2 linked regions of the Canis lupus familiaris genome follow. The protein of the gene in region 1 purifies or fractionates together with the protein of each later gene. This does not show direct contact. Links are inferred from orthologs where the notes say so. Each region holds a gene or a part of one and is shown on either strand. Other genes may lie near its edges. The genes, in order: NFKBIB and POLR1E.

Region 1 (11,071 bases):
CCTCGAGAGGATTTAGGAGAAGACTGATCAGTGCACCGATACGGAGAAACTACCCGTCTGGGGAAGAAACCATGTAAACAGATTAGGGAAACGTGCCCATTGCTCACAGGGGTTCAGAAATAGTGCCTGTTGCCACTGGTGAGACTAGGAAAAACCCCTAAAATACAGGACATTGGGTAGAAGGCTCTAGAAGGTCTTACCTCTGTAGTGGGAAATAATAAACCCTAGATAGAGCGCTGCTCAGACCCACCTAACAAATCACAAGAGCAAAACCCAGAAGGATCAAACTACTTAAAAGTAGTTTAACTGCATCCCAAAGCAACATTCAAGAATATTTATAGGAACATAGGGGCACCTGGGTGGCTCAGTGATTCAGCATCTGCCTTCAACTCAGGTTGTGATCCCAGGTCCTGGGATTGAGTCCCGCATCACAGTCCCCGCAGGGAGCCTGCTTCTCCCTCTGCCTATGTCTCTGCCTCTCTCTGTGTCTCTCATGAATAAATAAAATCTCAAAGAAAGAAAGAAAGAAAGATATACAACTGGCCAGACTAACAAGATAAAGTTCACAATGTTTGGCATCTATTCAAAGATTACAAGGTAGGAAAAGAAGCAGAAAAACATGATCCACAATGAGAATAATCAATCAGTTGAAATTGACCCAGAAATGACCCAGGTGTTTGAATCTGCAAACAAGACCATTAAAAGAGTTCATTGTAAGTGACTCTCATACATTCCAAAAGTTAAGTAGAGACATGGGTGATAGGAGCCAAAGACTCAAATCAAACTCCTAGAGATAAAAACTAGAGCATCTGAAACGAAAAATACACTGGACAGGATTAGCAGAGATTAAACAATGCAGAAGAGGGAAGGCCTAGGTGGCGCTGTGGTTGAGTGGCTGCCTTTGGCTCAGGTGATGATACTGGGGTCACAAGATTGAATCCCGCAACAGGCTCCCCACAGGGAGCTTGCTTCTGTCTCTGCCTATGTCTCTGTGTCTCTCATGAATAAATAAATAAAATCTAAAAAAATAAATAATATAGAAGAAAAAACTACCGAATGACTTTGTGATAGGAACTATTTAGAATGAAACACAAAGAGAATTTTTTTAATTTCTTTTTTATGTTTAAGTCATCTCTACACTCAACATGGGGCTTGAACTCATGACCCCAAGATCAAGAGTCTCACACTCCAATGACTGAGCCAGCTGGGCACCCTCAAAAGAGACTATTTTAAAATGAAAGGAACATCAGTGAGCTATGGAACAACTTCAAGCAGCCTAACAATATTTGAAACTTTTTTTTCTTTTAAGATTTTATTTCTTTATTCTTTAGAGAACAGAGAGAGGCAGAGACACAGGCAGAGGGAGAAGCAGGCTCCCTACAGGGACCCTGATTCGGAACTTGATCCCGGGACTCCAGGATCACGCCCTGAGCTGAAGGCAGACACTCAACCACTGAGCCACGCAGGAGTCCCTAATATTTGAAACTAAGTCCCTAAATGATGTGGGGGATAGAAATATTTGAAGAAATAATGTCTAGAAAATTTTCCAAACTTATGAAAACTATAAACTCACAGATCCAAGAAGCTCAATGACTCCCAAGAACAAGAAATATTAGGAAAACTATACCAAAGCCCAACATAAAAATCTGGTTCAAAACCCCAATGGTAAAGATAAAAATCTCAGTGGTGCCTGGGTGGCTCAGTTGGTTAAGGGTCCAACTCTTGGTTTCACCTTAGGTTATGAGATCAAGCCCCACTTGGGCCCCACAATCAGCATGGAGTCTGCTTGGGATTCTCTGCCTCTCCCTTTGCCCCTCCCTTGCACTTATGTAGTCACTTGCTCTCTCTTTCTCTAAAATAAATAAATTTTTTAAAATAATTTTTTTAGGGATCCCTGGGTGGTGCAGCGGTTTGGCGCCTGCCTTTGGCCCAGGGCGTGATCCTGGAGACCTGGGATCGAATCCCACGTCGGGCTCCCGGTGCATGGAGCCTGCTTCTCCCTCTGCCTATGTCTCTGCCTCTCTCTCTCTCTGTGTGTGTGTGTGTGTGTGTGTGGCTATCATAAATAAATAAAATTTAAAAATAATAATAATAATAATTTTTTTAAAAAAAGATAAAAATATCAAAAGCAGCTAGAGAGAAAAAGATACTTTATAGAAAAATAAAAATAAGGATGATAGTGGATGTCATATAGGAAATTAGACAGGGGAACAGATTGGGGCAACACCTTTCAAGTATTCAAAGACACACTCAACCTAGGATTTTTTTCTTTTTAAGTGGGCTCCATGCTGGGCATGGAGCCCAACACAGGGCTTACACTCAACCCTGAGATAAGACCTGAGCTGAGATCAAGAGTCAGATGCTTCACTGCCTGAGCCACCCAGACATCCCTCAACCTAGATTTTTTTTTAAGATTTTATTTGAGAGAAAGAGAGAGAGAGAGTGAGTGAGTGAGTGAGAGAGTAGGAAGAGGGTTAGAAGGAGGAGAAGCAAACTCCTCCATGCTGAGCAGGGAGCCTGATCTGGGGCTCGATCCCAGGACCCTGGGATTAGACCTGAACAGGAGGCAGATGCTTAACCAAGTGAGCCACCCAAGTGCCCCCAACCTAGAAGCCTTTAACCCAGCAAAAATATCTTTCAAAAATGAAGACAAAATAATGATGTTTTCAGATATACAAAAGCCGAAGGAACTTATCGACAGCAGACGATAAGTTGTCTCCAAAGAAAGGTTAAAGGAAACCTGCAAGCAAAATGAAAATGACATCCCACAGCAACATGGGCCTATACACATAAATAGCAAACATTGAAAATAACAACTATGTGGGTAAATCTGGAAGATTTTTTCTCATTATGTCTCTCTCTTTTTTTTTAATACAAGTCCCTTTAGAAGGTAATTTGAAAAAAAATAGTTGAGTGTTTGTTTAAACAAAACTACTAACAATGTATGGTGGAGTTTATAACACACGTGAAACTAAACTGTATGACAACAAGAACATAAAGGCCAGGAGGGAACAAATGGAAATATATTATTCTAAGGTTCTTTTATCTTTTACCCTATGCGAAATTTCACCCATCATAAGTTGAAGCTGTACAGTATAAGCTATAAAGCAGAGGTCAGAAAACTTTTTCTGTAAGTGGCCAGATAAAGATTTTACGCTTTGTGGATTCTAGTGTCTCTTTTACCTACTCAGCTCTGCTGTTATGGTTGATATAAAAGCAGCCACCAGCTATATGTAAATGAATGAGCAAAGCAGTATTCCAGCAGAACTTCATCTGTGGGGTCTGAAATGTGACTCTCATAATAATTTTCACTTGCCACAAAATAGTCTTTTGATTTTTTTCGACCATTTAAAAATGTAAATACCATTCATAGCTTACAGCCATACAAAAGCAGATGGCTGGCTAGATTTTTCCTGGAAGCCAGTTTGCCAACCACTTAATCAACAGAAGTGTTAAAGCTAACAAACCAGGGACTTTTGGCTGGCTCAGTCAGTAGAGCGTGCGACTCTTGATCTTGGGGTTATGAGTTCGAGCCCCATGTTAGGTGCAGAGATTACTTAAAAACACCTTAAGGGGCGCCTGGGTAGCTTAGTTAAGTGTCTGACTCTTGATTTTGGATCAGGTCATGATCTTTAGGGTTGTGAGATCACGCCCTGCATGGGATTCCATACTGGGAGTCGGCTTGAGATTCTCTCTCCCTTTCCCACTGACCCTCCCCCACAAAATAAATAAAATTTAAAAATAAAATCTTTAAATAAATACATAAAGCTAATGAACCAACAAAAGAATACAATGGGGGATCCCTGGGTGGTTCAGTGGTTTAGCGCCTGCCTTCAGCCCAGGGCGTGATCCTGGAGTCCCCGGATCGAGTCCCACATCGGGCTCCCTGCATGGAGCCTGCTTCTCCCTCTGCCTGTGTCTCTGCCTCTCTCTCTCTCTCTCTCTCTCTCTCTCTCTCTCTCTCTCTCTCTCCGTGTCTCTCATGAATAAATAAATAAAATCTTTAAAAAAAAAAAAAGAATAGGGATCCCTGGGTGGCGCAGCGGTTTGGCGCCTGCCTTTGGCCCAGGGCGCGATCCTGGAGACCCGGGATCGGATCCCACGTCGGGCTCCCGGTGCACGGAGCCTGCTTCTCCCTCTGCCTGTGTCTCTGAGCCTCTCTCTCTCTCTCTCTGTGACTATCATGAATAAATAAATAAAAATCTTTAAAAAAAAAAAAAAAAAAGAATACAACGGGACAAGGTTTACAGGTTCCAAAAGAAGGCAGAAAAAGAAGAAAAGGTAAACAAAGGAGATGTATTAAGTAGAAAATTAGCAAAAGGATGATAAACATAACTGTATCAATAACTAAATGTAAATGGTCTAAACATTCCAATTAAAAGGCAGAAATTGTCAGACTGAACAAAAAAGCAAAACCCAACTATATATGCTTCCTACAAGTAATACCCTTTAAATATAGGTATTAAAAGATAGGTTAAAATAAAAGGGTGGAAAAAGATATACTGTGCTAACACCAGTCAGTCAAAAGAAAGCAGGAGTGAGTTGTGTTTTTTTAAGATTTTATTTATTCATGACAGACTCACAGAGAGAGAGAGAGAGAGAGAGAGAGAGAGAGGCAGAGACACAGGCAGAGGGAGACGCAGGCTCCATGCAGGGAGCCTGATGTGGGACTCGATCCCGGATCTCCAGGATCATGCCCTGGCTGAAGGCGGCACTAAACTGCTGGGCCACCGGGGCTGCCCAGGAGTGAATATTTTAATATCATACTAGACTTTAGAGCAAGAAATATTACCAAGTATCGAGAAGGTTATTTTGTAATGATTAAGAGGTCAACTAAGCAAAAGAACATAATAATTCTACATATCCATGCCCTAATAACAGAGCATCAAATTACACAAAGCAAAACCTGACAGAACAAGAGACAAATCCATAATGACTGCTGGAGATTTCAATGCCCCCTCCTCAATAATTGATAGAACAAGGAGACAGAAACCATTAGTAAGGATATATAAAATGATAAACCAATAGGACCACTAATTGACTTTTAGAGAACCCTACACCCAACAACAGCAGAATATTCACTCTTTTCAAGTGCACGCATAATGTGTGGCACCATAAAACAATTCTCAATAAATTTACGAGGATCCAAGTCATACAAAGTATGTTCTCAGTCTACAAGGGAATTAAATTAAAAATCAATAAAAGAGAGACATTTGGAAAACTTTCCAAATATCTGGAAACTAAATAACATATTTATTTTTTTAAAAAGATTTATTTAGGGGCATCAGGGTGGCACAGTGGGTTGGATGACCAACTCTTGGCTTCAGCTCAGGCCCTGATCTCAGGGTCATGGGATCACGCCCTGCTCCCAACAGAGCCTGCTTGGGTTTCTCTCTCCCTCTCCCTCTGCCCCCTACCCCTTTTTAAAAGATTTATTTATTTATTTATTTTAGAGAGAGCATAAGCAGGAAGGGCAGAGGGAGAAAGAGAGAGAATTCCAAGCAGATGCCACACTTGAGCACAGAGCCCAATGGGAGGCTCATCCCAGGACCCTGAGATCACAACCTGAGCTCAACCAACTGAGCCACCCAGGCGCCCTAAATAACATATTTTTAAATAATCCACTGGCCAAAGAAGAAATCAAAAGAGAAATTACAAAGTATCTTGAATTAAATGAACATGAAAACACAACATATCAGAATTTGTGAGAGACTGCTAAAGTACTGCTGCTGGAAATTTATACCATGAAACACCAATGTTAGAGAAGAAAGGTCTCAAATGAATGATCTCAGCTGCCACCTTAAGAAACTTTAAAAAAAGAGAGAAAGAAAGAAAAAAAAAAATTAGACCCAAAGTAAGCCGAAGAGGGCAATAATGAAAATCAAAACAGAGATCAATGAAATAGAAAGCAAAAAACCAATAAAGAAAACTAATGAAACCTCAGCAGGGGTCTTTGGAAAGAACAATATTTCCTGCACGCCTCTTATGGGTCAAGCCCTGTTTAGTCACCATGACTGGATGAGTAGACACAAATACACAAAAAAACCCCAGGACAATCCCTCACCGCCCTTTACAATTCTGGTTCCTTCTGCCTGGAGAGTTCTCCCCCAGATACTCTACGGATCTCGTTTTCCTGCTTTATTTTTCCCCCAAAGAACTTATTACCTTCAGATACACTATTTTTCTGCCTTTCCTTTATACTGTTTTTCGTTTTTCTTTGTTTCTTCTTTTCCTTTCTCTTCTTTCTCACTTTGCGTCTGTGTCTTAGTTTCTTTTGTTCCTTCTCTCTCCTCTTTCCCTCCCTCCCTTCCTTCCTGTCTTTCTGTCAGCCTGTCTGTCCTTTTGTCTGTCTACATACGCACCTTAGAATGTAAACTCCACAAGAGCGGAAATTTTTGTCTGTTTTCCTCACTGCTTTATCGCAGCACCTAAACCAGTGCCTGGAACGTGGTGGTGTTCAGCAAATACTTAACAGGCATCAATCCCTGCTATCATGGAGCTTACGTTTTCCCTTTGGATGTAAGATCTGAAGATCGGTGCTCAGAAGGTAGAATGTTAAGAATCAAGGTCATGTATTAATTTTGGAAATCTAAGTTCAAGGCGCATCCATCAGGAGGCTAAGGATCAAGGATCCTATTTGGAGGTAGGAGGTGAGGAGGAGCCTGTCTGGACCACAACTCTAACAAAGGTCTCCGGACTTGGGTCGGGAAGATCAAAACCAGTTTGGGGATCAATGGATAGGGATGTGGAGCAATATGAAGCAGAGCTCAAGAAAGGAAAGTCGGAGAAATTAAGGAGTTAGGGTCAAAGTTGGCTAGGAAATTGGTTTTACTAAAGGTTAGGAGTTACAAATCAGAAAGTCGAGCATCAGAAGTTAGATTTAAGAGTGAAAGGTTAGGGAGCCGGGATAGGAGACTAATAGGGAATCAGAGGTGGGATCCTAGGGCCCCGTTAGGCAGCCTAAGGTTCACTCACGTGTCCCCATCCTCAGTGACGTAGCCAAAGACGAGGGGCGCCCACGACAACCCCGGGCCCAGCTCGGCGCCCAGCCCCGGTCCTCCGGGGGCTGCTGCGTCGGGACCCAGAGAGCCCAGGCCGCTGTCGCACCATTCGTCGGCCTCCGCAGCTTTCCCCAAGCACGCGACCCCGGCCATGGCCCCCGAAGCCTCAGGGGCCCCAGCGGCCGCCCGCCTGTAGCTGGCTTTGCCTGAAGCCCCGGCGCTTCCGCCCTGCGGGGAATTCCCCAACACTCCCCCTTGGCTCACCCAATCAGAATGACCTAAAGAGCACACGCCCCGCCCCCTTACCACACAGTGACCATTCAGAGTATTCAGACGGACTGCGGCTCTCTACCCATTCCCACAGTTTCCGGCCGCCCTTTACCAACATGGCTGCCTGCGCGGAGCCCTCTGGGACTCGTAGTCTCGCCGTCCGTGTCTTCCTAGCCCGAGAGCGGCAGGCGCCGCTGGACGAAAAGCCTGTATGCATCCTCGATGACTGCTGGGAGTCGTAGTTCTCTGCCCTGTCTCTGCCCCTCCTGTTTCCGGTGCCGTCACGGGACAGAGCAGTCGGTGACAGCCCCGAGGGCCCCCGCCCCGCGCCCATGGCCGAGCCGGACCGTGAGTCGGGGGCCCCGGTGGGAGGGTCGGGTCGCACCGGGGCCTGGCTGAGGGCTGCAGGCCCCGGGGCCCGAGGACCGGCGTGGTGGGGCTGGAGACGGGGGCTGCATGGCGGCCAGTGGGAATCGGGGCGGGGGTGGGGGGTCGTTGCTAAGTGATCCATCTTGCCAGGCTGGTGGGTTTCTGGGTCGCGAGATTGTAAGGGTCCTTTGCTACGTCCCCTAAGTTACTAATGACCGCGTGTTTCTCGCACCTCGGTTGCTGAGGACCCTCGTTGCTAAGGACTTAGATTGCCGCGGCCCCGGTTGCTAAGGGTACCTGGTTGTTAGGGGGAACTGTAGGATGCTCGGGGACCCCTGGCGCCCCCTCCTGTCTCGTCCCTCTAGTTCCTGTGCCCCTCCTAAACGTGCTGTCTCCACTGCACCTCCTTTCCTAAACCTGTCTCTGCTAAGCGTATTTTGTTTTCTCTCTTCCTTTTTTAAACTTCCCTCTGTTTGTAAACCCTAACCCTCCCTGCACACACACGTGCTCACACACACACTCACTACTGTTTGCTTCCTCACTTCTAAGTCTTCCTCCATGCCTGTATGCTTTACTTTCTCCTCCCTCTCCCAAACCTTCCTGCCCCAGCCTCTGTCTGTCACTAACCACTTCTCCAGACAGCACTGTCTATCCTAATAAGATCTGCTTTTCCCCATCCCCTCCCTCCCTCTGCTCAGCTTTTACCACCACCTCCCACCCCAGTATAATTAGGTTGGTGGGTCTTCTTGCCCCTTGCCCCTCTGCTTTGAAGCCCTTCATCCCCACTTAACTGTGCCCCGCACTGTAACCACGTCTGCTCCCCCTCCTCCCCCAGCCTCTGACCCTCTGGAGACCCAGGCAGGGAAGGTGCAGGAGGCTCAGGTGAGATTTGGGGAAGGGTGGAGGGAAGGAGAGAAATGGACGTGTTCCCACACCCCACACTCTGGGGGGGGTGGAGGTGGCAGAGGGGAGACAGTTACCCCAGGGCCCTCAGGGCATCACCCCAGCCCCTTGCCCCCACTCCTGGTTCGGCCCCCTGGGAATGGTGGATTCCGGGGACTGGCAGAAAAAGCTGTGCACCCTCAACTCCAGACCTGTCCTCCCTGACTTTTCTCTTTCCTTGCTCCCTACCCTTAACCTTTCTGAACCTCATTTATGCTGGGCATGGAAGAGACAGGCATCCAAGTTGGTCCTTGAACGCCCAGATCCCACAGACAAGTGACTAGAAATGACCCTCCAGAGTGATTATGAAAGTAGCTCAAGGCAGAGTAAACTTTGTGAGGGTCAACAGTTTCCAGCCGGTCCGTTCCCAGGGCAAATCCACAGGCCGGTCCAGGAGTCAGATTGAGGTACAGACACTTGACAGTAAGTGAAGAGTGACTTAGAATTTTCTTAGGCACAGTGAGAAATGGCGTTCCACGCAGAGTGTACAGCTTGTACCAGGACTGGGAGGGGGGCACGAAGGGTGTGATGTGGTCAATGGTCTGGTAGCTGTGGGTGGTTAGCTAATTATATTTGAGGTTAGCATTTATTGAGCCGGGTACTCCACCCAGTGCTCTGTGTACATCATAGCATTTCACCTTCCCAGAATCCCTGTGGTGGTGGTAGTTGGGGGGCAGTTCAAGGCCTACTGGGGCCATTTCACAGATGAGGAATCTGCAGCAGAGCTGTTCTGTAACTTGTCCTCTGGCCCCCCAGCTAGAAGAGCAGGGACTGCTTTGCAACCCACGGCACCCAGCACATTGCCTTCCAGACGCTTCAGGAAGAGGTAGCCAGGCCACCTCACGAAGACTTGAAGGCCCCAACCAGCACCTCCAGCTCCCCCTTAGGCCCAAGTCGCTCCCACATGCTGGGCAGGGCCCTCGAGTCCTTCCACAGAGGCTCACTGTCTGCAGCCTGAAAGAATGCCAACCCCCCACAGACGTGAGCTCGCTGTTCAGATGTAGGGCAGCACAGAAGCTGTGATGAAGGCACCTGACAGATGCACAGAGGGCCACACTGAGGGTCTGAAAGCTTCCTGTCAGGCCAGGGCTTCTCCCTTGCCTGGCTCCCAGGGCTCAACCGCTGTCACAGAAAGTTTTAATGTTAAAAAGGGATCCTCAGTCCCAGCAAGAGAGATCCGAGGATATAAATTACAGTATTGTCTGCTATGGGGCAACCCTGGAAACAGCCCAAGTGGCTGTCAGTAGGCGGGTTAAATGAACTATGGCTCATCCCTACAATGCAACACTATGTAGCTTTTTTAAAGAATGAGGTGGATCTATGGTATATTGTTCTGCGGAAGACGCAAGGTGCAGCATTGTACTGTGGCATGACCCATTTCTGGAAAAATAACGAGTTTTATATGCAGAGAAAAAAATCTAGAGTAATTACCACTGTACTGTTAATAGTGGTTATGGTGACTGCGGTGGGAACGGGATGCGAGTGCCTCAAGTCGTACATCGTCTAATGGTCAAAGCTTTTGCAAAGCTTATAGAAAATTTTAAATATATTTGGAAGGGCGGTTCCTGTTAAAAAAAGGCTTGGAGTCGGAGCGGAGAATGATGGGGAACGGGGTCGGTGGAAGGGTTTTAATCAGGGGAGTGCATTGGTCAGAATTGTGTTTTTGTGAGGTCCGTTGCAGGGCCCAGCCCTGGTGTAGCGCACAGCAAGTATCCATTCGATCAGTGGTGGATAGTTCTGGAGCTCCTGCCAGGGGCCAGACCCCATTCTCGGTGCTGGGCGTCCACTGGTGAACATGAAAAATCCCTGCCATCCTGGAGCTGACATCAGGGCGGACTCCATACATGTTGATGATCGGATGGTCAGACTGGAAAAGCCAGCGAGAGGGGTGCTTGGGGTGGAGGGGGTGGGCTGACACAGCCAGGCCATCACCCGGAGGGCAGTAGAGTCAATCAGAGGTAGGGACTAGGCTGGGAGCTTAGGGAGGAGGCCAAGACCGGGCCCCCAGAGGGAGAACAGGCTGGGCCAGGGAGAGCCCTAGGGAGGGGACCCATGATGGTGGGAGGGCAGGAGAGGGAGACAAAGACTGGGGGACAGAAGCCACACTGAGTTGGGGGCTGGGAGGAGGCGCAGGTTTAGGAGAGATGCCAAGGCCAGTCTGAGATGTGGTGGGAGAGAGAGGCCAGGGGTCACTTAGAGGGAGACATCCAGGGGGCTGTGGGAACCTCGGATCTGGGGACTAAGAGGTGGCATGATCAGTGCCTAGGCCAAGACCTTGGGCACAGATGAGGCAGCTAGCCCTGGAAAGGTGGAGTGAGGACGGAGGGAGGGCCCAGGACCGTCTCAGACCTGCCATCTGGGAGCCTGACTCAGGAGAAGTTAAATAATGACATGGAGGAGATGGCAAGGTGGTGCCCGGGGCTTCCAGCAGGAGGGCTGAGGACCCAGGGCGAGGACTGAGGCCTTTCCACTGGCATCATTCACAGGAG
Region 2 (11,083 bases), on another chromosome or scaffold:
ATCAGGCTCCCTGATCAGCAGAGAGTCGGCTTCTCCCTCTGTCCCTCACCCCACTCGTGCTCTCTCTCAAATAAACATCTTTTAAAAGAAAAATAAAAAATTGAAAATTAGGGCAGCCTGGGTGCTCAGCAGTTTAGCGCTGCCTTCAGCCCAGGGTGTGATCCTGGACACCCGACATCAAGTCCCATGTCGGGCTCCCTGCATGTAGCCTGCTTCTCCCTCTGCCTGTGTCTCTGCCTCTCTCTGTGTCTCTCATGAATAAATAAATAAAATCTTTAAAAAAAAAAAGAAAAAGTGAAAATTAAATGCCTTGGGAATTGAAAATGTTTATTCTTTGTTCATTATGTGCAAACCCATAATAAAGCTTCTTCATCATAGTAAAAAAATTTGAAGTTCACTGAAATGTTACATATAACTGAAAAAATTGGGAATGGTTAAGTGTTCAACTAAAGGATCGAACTCTGGCAACATTCAAGAGATTATCATGTGAGATTTGAGAAAATGCTTACAAGATAATGTTACCAAAATTTTTAAAGGACGATACAAAATTGAATACAGTATAAAAAATTGAATATAATATTAATTATATAAGCATACATAGGCACAGAGAAAAATCTAAAAAGAAATCAGAATGTTAAAATGTTTGCCTTTAGGTGGGGAACAGATCATGAGTTACTATAATTGCATTCTTTGTATTCTCCCCCAATATTGTACATCAAATATGTCTTGGTTTGATAAGTCTTTAAAAATCAAATGTATTGGGGAAATTTTAAAAACTGAATCTGAGACACGTGGGTGGCTCAGCAGTTAAGCATCTGCCTTCCGCTCAGGGAGTGATCCTGGAGTTCTGGGATCGAGTCCCACATCAGGCTCCCTGCATGGAGCCTGCTTCTCCCTCTGCCTATGTCTCTGCCTCTCTCTCTGTGTCTCTCATGAATAAATAAATAAAATCTTTAAAAAAATAAAATAAAATAAAAACTGAACCTGACATGATTAAATTTAACAAGCCTTCATATAAAGCTCTGAATCGTTGTTTTTTAAACAAGTTGTGGTATGGGGCACCTGGGTGGCTCAGTAGTTAAACATCTGCCTTTGGCTCAGGTCGTGATCCCGGGGTCCTGGGATAGAGTCCTGCACTAGGCTCCCTCCAGTGAGCCTGCTTTTCCCTTTGTCTCTGCCTCTCTCTGTGTCTGTCTTGAATGAATAAAATCTTCTTAAAAATAAATAATAAATAAAAATTTTAAAATTGCGGTAAGATGTGACTTAGCAGAAGCAAAGTCAAGAATTTTTGTTTATTGTTAACTCCAAAGAAGTTAACTGAACAATATAAGATACTTAGAATAAATGCACATATTGGTCTCATTAGGAGAGGCATGGCACCTACCCTCAGGAAGTGATGGATCCTTTCTGTGCTACCCAGCCCAGAACTGGAGTGTGGATCCATGTGGGGTCCCACAGTGTAAGAGGGATCCAGATATATTGCCATATGTCCAGCAGGGGTGACCTGAAAGAGGAGAGACCTAGAAACTTTGGTGTATGACATAACTGAGGGTTTTGAGGGAGTTGCTAAGAAGGAGAGGAGCAGATAAATGGAAAGTGTGATCGGAGTAATCAAATTTTTGGAGGGCTCAGGGCAGAGCAGTGCGTCGTGTTCTGTGTGGCTCCAGAAAGCAGGACTGGAATTACAGAAGCTACAGAAGGTAGATTCAGCTTCGTGTAAGGCAAGACCTATCCATGGTGAAGGCGGCCCCATAAGGAAGGGGTTTTCCACGTATACAGGATACAAGCAGCATCTGCATCAGGGATATAGAGAAAGAGAAAAAAATAGAGAAGGGAGAACGGGAGAGTGAGCAAACAGAAAAAGAAAGGAAGAAGAGAGGCAGAGGTGGGGAAAAGGGAGAGAAAAGGTGAGGCAGAAGAAACGGGAGAGTACACACTGAGTTGCAAGCGCTTTCAGGTCTTCGTTAGCCATATCCTGAACCGCCAGCAGATGGAGATATCACCCAAGGAAAAGGGGACTGCCTCCGGCCCACCGCACCGTGCCCCGGACCTTATTCTTTTCTTATTCTCTAAATATCCGTTCACTCTCCTGAAAAATGATGCTGAGAGAACTCCAGAAGTCTCTGAATTTCCAAACTAAGCTTATAAACAAACATTTAATGGTAAATGTTGCCTCTGATTACCCCTGATTCTGATTTAGAAGAAGGCTTTGTAGTTTCTGCGTTTGGGGCACTGCCTGAGTAGGGCTCCCTCCAGCTTGCCTCCTCCCAGTTATATGCACATGTATATATACATATACAGTGTACACGAGTTTTGAATCACTGCTAAATAATTAAACAACATAGGGGTATGTTACAGTCCCCTTCCTAGTCACCCCGCCATTAACACTTTGCTTCCCCAAGTAGAAGCGCTGTCACTTTGAATTCCTAACTGTGGTTATTCTGGGAGTCTTTACTCTCAATCCATGTGTGCTTTCTTCATTCTTCCATGTAGCCATAAAGCATCCAATTTTAAGGACTTTCACAGACTCGTCAGACTGGTAAACATGTGCCCAAAAGGGAAACAATCTTTTACAACAGCGCTTCCCAACCTTGAAGCACACACGAATCACCCAGGGATCTTGTTAAGTGCAGATTCTGATTCAGGAGATTTGATAGGGCTGCAGATTCTGCACTGCTGATGAGTTCCCAGATAACATTAGTGCTGCTAGCCCAAGAACCACACTTTGAGCAGCAAGGCTAAATGTCCTTATATTAAGAGGGTCAGGACACCTCTCAGCTACAATTGACTCCTTGTAGTCATGCTGTCTTCTTTGTCACCCCTTAACTTTGACTTAACTGTTCATGTGTTCATTCAACCAACCAACATTTACAGAGAATCTACTCTGTGTGAACCCCAATGCCAGTCAATTTGAAGCACGGTTAGTAAGCATCTTTGAGCTCCAGTCCCGGGATTCCTAGGATTTAGTGATGATTCAAATTCATTCCTTGCCGTGTCATTCATTCATTCGATATTTATTGAGGATCTACTTATGTGCCAGGTACTGTTCCGGGAGCTAGAGATGCACAAAACAATATATAAATTGGGATGCTTGGGTGGCACAGTTGGTTGGGCATCTGATTCTTGGTTTCGGCTTAGGTTATGATCTCAGGGTTGTGGGATTGAGCCCCATGCCCAGCTCTGTACTCAGCTCTGAGTCCACTTGAGGTTCTCGCTCCCTCTCCCAGCCCTTCCTGCTTATGTGCTATCTCTGTTTCTTAAATAAATAAATAAATAAATAAATAAATAAATAAATAAATAAATAATCCACAAATCCGTTTATTGCTAAACCCCCAACTTTATTGTTAGCCTCAAGTAAGTTTGTATCCAATAGGGGAGACAGGTAAATAATTAGGCAATTAAGCTCCTTCCCCCTTACCTTTTTTCCTTTTCTCTTCCTGAACAACTCAATCCAAAAGCCATTCAGTGATCAAGCAAAGTAGCTTTCCCCTCAGAGGTACAGGGGAGCCTGCAGTGGTCTAGAGCAGGGGTACTGGAGCCAAGCAAGATGAGAAGGTTATCCAAGCGGAAAGTGTGGCCTGGTACAGACTTTCTGAGCCCAATCAAGGTGAGAAGGGCATCTGGGCAGGGGGACACCCTGGTGAGGGTTGTCAGAGTCTAAACAGGATAAGGAGGGCATCTGCGATAGTTAATTTTATGTGTCAACTTGACTGGCTTCTAGGTGCCAGATTAAACATTATTTCTATGTGTGTTTATGAGAGTATTTCTGGATATTACCATTTTAATTTAATTAGTGGACTCCGTAAAGTAGACTGCCCTCACCAGTGTGGGTGACATCATCCAATCTCTTGACGTTCTGAATAGAACAAAAGGTGGAGGAAGAAGGAGTGTTTTCGGTTTTTTTCTTGCCTCATTTGTGAGTTGGAACATCTTGTCTCATCTTCTCTGATCATTGCGCTTGAAATTAAACCACTGGCAGGGTTCCTTAGTTCTCAGGCCCTCAGACTTACACCACCAGCTTTCCTACTGGTGTACACATGGCAAACTGTGGAGCTTCTCAGCCTTCATAATTGTGTGAACCAATTATTCATATTAATAAACCTCTCTCTCTCTAAATATATATATAGATAGAGATATCCTACTGGTTCTGCTTCTCTGGAGAACTCTAATACAGTATCCATGTAGTGGTCAGAACTTGGTTTAAGGTGTTAGAGCCTGAACGGGCTAATAATCACCCCCATGTCAGGTGATGGTGGTGGTGATAGTGATGGGAGATGTGTTAAAGGAGGACTGATCAAATAAGTAATATATTAACTAATGGAACCCAGGTTTCTCACTGTCAGAGAAGGAAGTTACAAATATGGGAGGAAGGAAAATCAGAATAAACTCTGTGGTGCTGAATTGGAATTAGAAGTCACTATGATCTCATGGTTTTCAATATATATGGATCTAGAAATTCTAAGTTTTAGAAACTTACTGTTAGTTGTGAAAGTGTGTTTACTTACATATAATCCCTAAGTCAGTTCATTCAGGCCTGGGAGCTGTGACATCCCCCAAGCAGTCCATACCTACTACAGAGATCTTAGTTTCTGAATACTGTTTCCTACCAAAAGAAACCAGAACTCCTTGGAGAAATGGGTGATTCCAGGGCTGGGGCAGGGAAACTACATGACAAATTGAAATATCTTGTGCCAGAAAGTAAGGACACGTTCAAAAAAATGATGTGGACATGTAAAAAGAACCCAGAAACCAACTTAACGGGGTTTCCACTGGCCCGATCTGATAAAACTAGAACTTGAAAATAGGTGATAGTAGATTCTAATCTATTGAATAAAATAGGAATCTACAAGTCCAGACTGATATAAATAAATGAATAAATTGGTAGTGCGATGAACAGGAAATTAGTTTCTCAATACCCACTCACAAAATAAGAGTCAGGTACAAAGGGAAATTACAAAGCAAAGAGAGTAATTTTACAGCAGGGAAACCTCTAACTGGTTGAAGTGGTCAAAGTTATCAGTAATCGGACAAAGAGAAATTGTGGGCCACCTAATAGGATACAGTGAGCATCGTATCCGTGATAGCCCTGCCAAAGGCGCACGCATAACCTGAAACTAGTCATTTGGAAACATTAGACAAATCCAGATTGAGGGACATTCTACAGAACAACTGGCCTGTAATCTTTAAAATTTGCAGGAACTGCAAATGAGGAACTGTTCTGGGTTGAAGGAAACTAAAGACCGTTGAGTAAATGCAACCTGTGTTTTCGGACAGGTTCTTTCTGCTGTAAACACTTTACTGGGACAATTGGTGACGTACTTTGTTGAGACTCGAAGGCGACCTGGGTAACAGATGAGGCCACCTGAGTTCTTGCCCTCAAAGATACCTGCCTTTGAATCCACGCTCAAAGGGTCCGGCTTTGGCCCTTCCGCTCTGCTAAGTCGCCTGATCCCCCACAACCCTCAACGCGTAGGCGAGCGCGGCGCCCCCGGGAGGCCAGCGGGGCAGAGGCCTGGGGCCCCCAGGGTTGGCAGAGAGAGTCCCCGCCTCTCCATGCGGCGGGGCGGGGCGAAGAGTGGGCGGGGGAGCGCGGCGGGGGCGGGGCCGCGCCGTGTGCGCACGCGCGGGGCGGGGCGGGGCCGAGGAGGCCACGCCTCTTCCGCCCCGCGGTTCTGCCGCCGCGTGTGGACCGCTAAGGCGCTCCGGGCCGAGTCTATCCGGGTCCTTAGCCTTGGCGGCCGGACCGGGAGATGGCGGCGGAGGTGTTGCCGAGTGCGCGGTGGCTATACTGTGGGCAGCCCGACGAGAGCCAGAGAGCCGTACTGGGTAAAGACCGCGGAGCCGGAGCCGAGTCCCGCACAGCTCCCTCCGCTCCCGTCTGGGTGCTTCTGCAGCCCTCCTGCCCCTGCCGGACCCCTTTCCCGGCTGGGCCAAGACGCCCTCTAGCCTCCGGCACTGCTTGGGACTTGGTCACCCCCCATCTCTCTGTCACCACCTGGATGGGGACATCCCAGGCAGCCTCCTCCTCAGGGCTCTCCCAGTCACCCCGTCACGCACTCACACCTGCCCCGTATCCTTTTCTCCACGGTCTGGGCTAGGCTTCAGCTGTTTAACCCTGGTCATCTCCTTCCGTCGCGGCCCTTCGCCAGCACTGCCCTCACCTCCCGGTCTCCTCTTCCCGACCGGCAGGGACCTCCTTCAGGCCCCCCTTCAGGCCTGGGCTTCCTTACCACTCCCATGCCTTCAGACGCTCTCTCCCAACGAACAGTCCGGTTCCTCCCCACCATACACACTGTGGGTCCTTCTACTCATCTCATTTTTGCGCTGCAATCTTACAGTGCAGTTCTCCAACGGGAAGCTGCAGAATCCAGGCAACGTGCGTTTTACTTTGTACAAGAGCAATGACTCCACAAACCCCAGGAAGAGGAGTCAGCGGATTCTGGTAAGTGCTGCGGGGGCCAGCTGCCTCCACTCTGCAGATTTCTGAAGGTCTTGGAGGCGCTTGGGTGTGGGTGGATGTGGGAGGGAGGGAGAGGAGAAAAGAGATAGCAAATGAGCCTTGGGAGAACCGTGAGTCCCAGCAGGTTGGGGTGTGGGGACAGGCTCCATTCATTCAGTTATGTACTTTTGGTGAAGTGATGACCTTTCATTGATCTATTCATTCAGCAAGCTTTTATTGAGCACCCACCGTGGCTGTGCTGTAAGCTGCACGGGAAATAGCGAAATGGGACTTGGCTCCACCCTGGGGGAGCTCCTACTCTAGAGCAGGGTTGCTCAGTCTTGGCACTATTGACATTTTGATCCAGATAATTCTGTGTTGTGGGCCAGACCTGTGCATTGCGGGATGTTCAGCTTCCCTGGTCTCTAACCACTAGATACCAGTAGCACCTCCTCTTTGTGACACCCAGAATTCCCAGAGGTGTCCCTCACGCCCCCTCACCCCCCCCCAACCAAGGGTGATTTGCTGGGTGAGAACAACTGCTTTCGAAAGGTGAGAACTGGTTTTGAGTTCAGTAACTCACACAAGCCTGCAAGCTCTGAGCCTGGAACGAGTTCATTTGAGCTCAGGAAGTCTCTGCTTGTCAGAAGGCCTTCCTGGGGGAGGACACATAGCAGCTAAGCTCTGAAGACTGGAGGACGGTTTGACAGCTGAGGTTCCCTATTCCAAGTGAAAAGGAGAGCAGGGACAAACATAGGGAAGCAGGAAAGCTTGGCTGTGATTGAGGAGTGAATTAGCTGTCTCCATAGTCCTGCCAGCATATAAGCAGCAGCCATGGGAGAGATGGACAAAGAAGTTCAGGAAGGCTTGGACTTTGGGCCCAGGAGGTTGCTGGCAGAACCATTTTGTTGCATGCCTCTAAGTGCTAGCCCAGGAGCTCTCTCCCAAGTCCTGTGGTATAGCTCCCCTGAGCACTTTTCAGACCAGCTAGAAGCCAGCACTATATGGGGCTTCCCTTTCAAAAGTCCTCTTGCCTTTCTCCCAGAGACACCCAGATTCACTTGGAGAGTGGGGCTGGATCACCTCCCAGAGGCTCTCTAGTTCTGATCCACTGTGGTTTGGATTCTAAAGCTTTTGCAAATGTGGGAAAGGGAGACAATATGCTTGATACCTCTCAACATTGGTTGTGGTGGTGCTTTTTCACTTTACATTTTAGGCAGCTGAAACAGACAGACTTTCCTACGTGGGAAACAATTTCGGGACTGGAGCCCTCAAATGCAACACTTTGTGCAGGTAGGGGTTGGGGAAGGGACAACAAGGGGAGGATAGTGGTGGTGAGCCTGGCACTGTTGTTTTCGGTCTTTATTTTAGGAGTCGGGGGCAAATCTGGAGAGGTTTACCATGTCCTTGGGTTCCCAGATCCAGGGGCCTTCACAACCAACATGCCTAAAAAGAAAAAATAAGTTAACATTTGTTGGATTTCCTAAAATCTCATTCATTTGTAATTTTCTTTAAGATAATTTTTAGGGGTGCTTGGCTGGCTCAGTCATTGGAGCTTGGGACTCTTAGTCTTGAGGCTGTGAGTTTGAGCCCCACTTTGGGAGTAAAGATTACTTTAAAAAGTCTTAAATAATAATTTTTTAACTGCGATATAACTTTACACTAGTTTTAGGTATATAATATAATGATTAGATATTTGTATATGTTGCAAAATGGTCACCACAATAAGCAGTCATCCAGGGGTGCCTGGGTGGCTCAGTTGATTAAGCCTCTGCTTTTGGCTCAGGTCATGATCCCTGCTTCCTGGGATCAAGCCCCATGTTGGGCTCCCTGCTCAGCAAGGAGTCTGCTTCTCCCTCCTCCTGCTCTCACTCTTTCTCTCCCTCTCAAATAAAATCTTAAAAAAAAAAAAAAAAAAAAAAGTCATCCACTGCCACACATATTACAATTTTTTTCTTGTAATTAGAACTTTTAAGATTTGCTCTCAGCAACTTTTTTGTTTTAAGAGCACAGAGGGAGAGGGAGAAGCAGGCTCCCTGCTGAAGGACTGTTAAGAACTTTTAAGCAGGAAAAAGGAAGTTGTAAAACAGTACTTTTTGAGGAATCCTTTGTCATTGGTATTATTCCAACTTTGCTCAGGCACTTTGTGGGAATTCTCAACAAGACCTCTGGCCAGATGCAAGTGTATGATGCTGAATTGTTCAACATGCAGCCACTGTTTGCAGGTAGGACCCAGTCACGAAGGCTTGCAAGAACACTGCATGTTTTAGGTTTGCTGGATGAGTTTGGTTTTGATTTGTAAAACACATTTGTTATTTTTAAAAGGGTGCCTTCCTGCAAATATTTATTGATAACTTACTTTGCTCCAGGCACAAGTTAGTGGCTAGGGATGTAGCAGAACAGATACAGGTCCTGTCGCTGCTATGTTTACAGATTTGAGATCAGAAAATAATCAGTTAAAGCCATTTGAGCAGGGTTGCCTGGGTGGATCAGTTAAGCGTCTGCCTTTGGCTCAGGTCATGATCTCAGGGTCCTGCTCAGCAGGGAGTCTGCTTCTCCCTCTTTCTCTGTGCTTGTGGTCTCTCACTCTCAAATCAGTGAATAAAATCTTTAAAAGGTGGGGAGGGAGACTAAAAGGTGGTGAGGGGGACGCCTGGGTGGCTCAGCGTCTGCCTTCTGGGTGGCTCAGGGGCTGCCCTGGAGTAGAGGCTTTAGAGAAGATGGGAGTTACTTAGAGGTTAGACAGCCCTTTTCATGTTGATGAGAAGTCTCTCTATACTTTCTAATTAGGAGGAGATCCATTTTTTCCCCTAATTTAGTGAGAGAGCTTGTACTGCTTCTCTTCTTTGGCATTTTATGATGCTCAGGGCCAGAGTGTGGGATCTTCCAGAATGATAGGTCAGAGGGTCAGACTCAAGGGGCTCCTGTTCTCTAAATCTTAAATACTGAGAACCACAGTGAGGGAGGGTATAGTTGAGGAAGGATTGTTAGGGTCACAGTAGATCTGCCTGATGCCTTCCAAGGCAGTAGTTCTGGCTTTATTCCTGCAGAGCAGTGGTGCCAGTCCTTTCAAGAATCTGAAGGACCAGGGGATCCCTGGGTGGCTCAGCGGTTTAGAGCCTGCCTTTGGCCCAGGGCGCGATCCTGGAGTCCCGGGATCGAGTCCCATGTCGGGCTCCCAGCATGGAGCCTGCTTCTCCCTCTGCCTGTGTCTCTGCCTCTCTCTCTCTCTCTCTATGTCTATCATAAATAAATAAATAAATCTTAAAAAAAAAAGAAAGAATCTGAAGGACTGGACCTACTTTCCAGAAACATACGTAATACGTAAGAATATATATGAAATTTTGCATATAATTGTAAAGGGCTCTGAGTCCCATCTGCGACTCTCCTAGGGGTCCAGAGTCTGTAGGTTAAGGACTCCTTGCTTTGCGAACAAATACATCTACATTTAAATTATCCTCCAGGGCAGCCGGGGTGGCTCAGGGAGTTTAGCTGCTGCCTTCAGCCCAGGGCGTGATCCTGGACCCAGATCGAGTCCCACGGGCTTCCTGCAGGGAACCTGCTTCTCCCTCTGCCTCTGCCTCTGTCTCTGTCTCTGCCTCCCCCTCCCTCTCCCTCTCTCTCTCTGTTTCCCATGAATAAATAAATAAAATCTTTAAAATAAATAAATAATCCTCCAAGTGCTCTTCTGACTTCCAAGGAGGCAAAGGAAATTGTTCTCAAATTTTTGTTTTTACAGGTAAAAAATGTGTAAATACTAGTTTATTCTAGCCAACATATATATACACGTACACACACATGCAGCATTTATTGAGTCCTTAACTATTTGTCAGGCACTGTTCTAAGTACTTTTAATGCACGAGGATTGTCATAATTCATGTGACAACCCTCTGGTGGTTCTATCGATGACGAAACTGGTACAGAGTTTGACAGGGACATAATGTTGATGTGTGTGTGTGTGTGTGTATATATATATATACACACACCTTTATATATAATTATAATGTGTATATATAAAAATATAAATTTCCTTTATCCGTCTTTATCTATCTATATGACCTGGGATTGAAACTCAGACAAGGCCACTCTAGAGCTTATACTCCTACCCTCTAGATTATACTGCCCTTATATGAATACTTTATGGGAGATAAGAGAGCTTCATGTAAGTAACACATACCTTACATTTATGCTTGCTTATCTTTTATAAGGCGGGCAAAACTATTTACTGCAAAGAGCCGAGGACTTGGTTTCTAATCCCATCTCGGCCACTGCCTGGTGAACTGACTTAGGACAAATCATTTCGTTGGGAGGCTTTTTCCTTATTTGTAAAATGAAGAGGTTGGACCAGATGACCCCTTCATTTGACTCCTTAATTTCTTCTCCATATCCTCCAACTGTATACTAAAGCGACAGACTAAATATTCATAGGATCCATCATGTTAAACTCTGGGAAGTCCTACAGTAAAGAAATCTGTCTGTCTTAGATTAACAGTGAATAAATATTAAATGCTATTATAATCTGGGCCTTACAGCTTCCTTTTTTCCTATTTTTGTTTTGTGTCTTGATAGATGAATCACTTGAGAGCGACTTGACACAAGAGAGTCAGGCCAAAACTTTTAGAGAAAAGGTAAGAATGACAGAAG

Evidence for each region.
Region 2: the proteins of NFKBIB (region 1) and POLR1E purify together in Homo sapiens (affinity purification with mass spectrometry; 3 studies listed by BioGRID and IntAct, counting the BioPlex papers as one, with this or other methods). This does not show direct contact. The link is inferred for Canis lupus familiaris from reciprocal best matches to the Homo sapiens genes NFKBIB and POLR1E.

What each region holds. Positions count from the first base shown.
Region 1 is NC_049222.1:114,996,649-115,007,719, forward strand, and holds the start of NFKBIB (NF-kappa-B inhibitor beta), read right to left. Parts: upstream 7,240-11,071; 5' UTR 7,155-7,239; coding exon 6,976-7,154; intron 1-6,975. Other genes in the region: SIRT2 (NAD-dependent protein deacetylase sirtuin-2), read left to right, coding at 7,494-7,619. UniProt on the Homo sapiens protein: Inhibits NF-kappa-B by complexing with and trapping it in the cytoplasm.
Region 2 is NC_049232.1:54,121,319-54,132,401, forward strand, and holds the start of POLR1E (DNA-directed RNA polymerase I subunit RPA49), read left to right. Parts: upstream 1-5,631; 5' UTR 5,632-5,750; coding exon 5,751-5,826; intron 5,827-6,338; coding exon 6,339-6,442; intron 6,443-7,655; coding exon 7,656-7,732; intron 7,733-8,578; coding exon 8,579-8,664; intron 8,665-11,008; coding exon 11,009-11,067; intron 11,068-11,083. UniProt on the Homo sapiens protein: Component of RNA polymerase I (Pol I), a DNA-dependent RNA polymerase which synthesizes ribosomal RNA precursors using the four ribonucleoside triphosphates as substrates.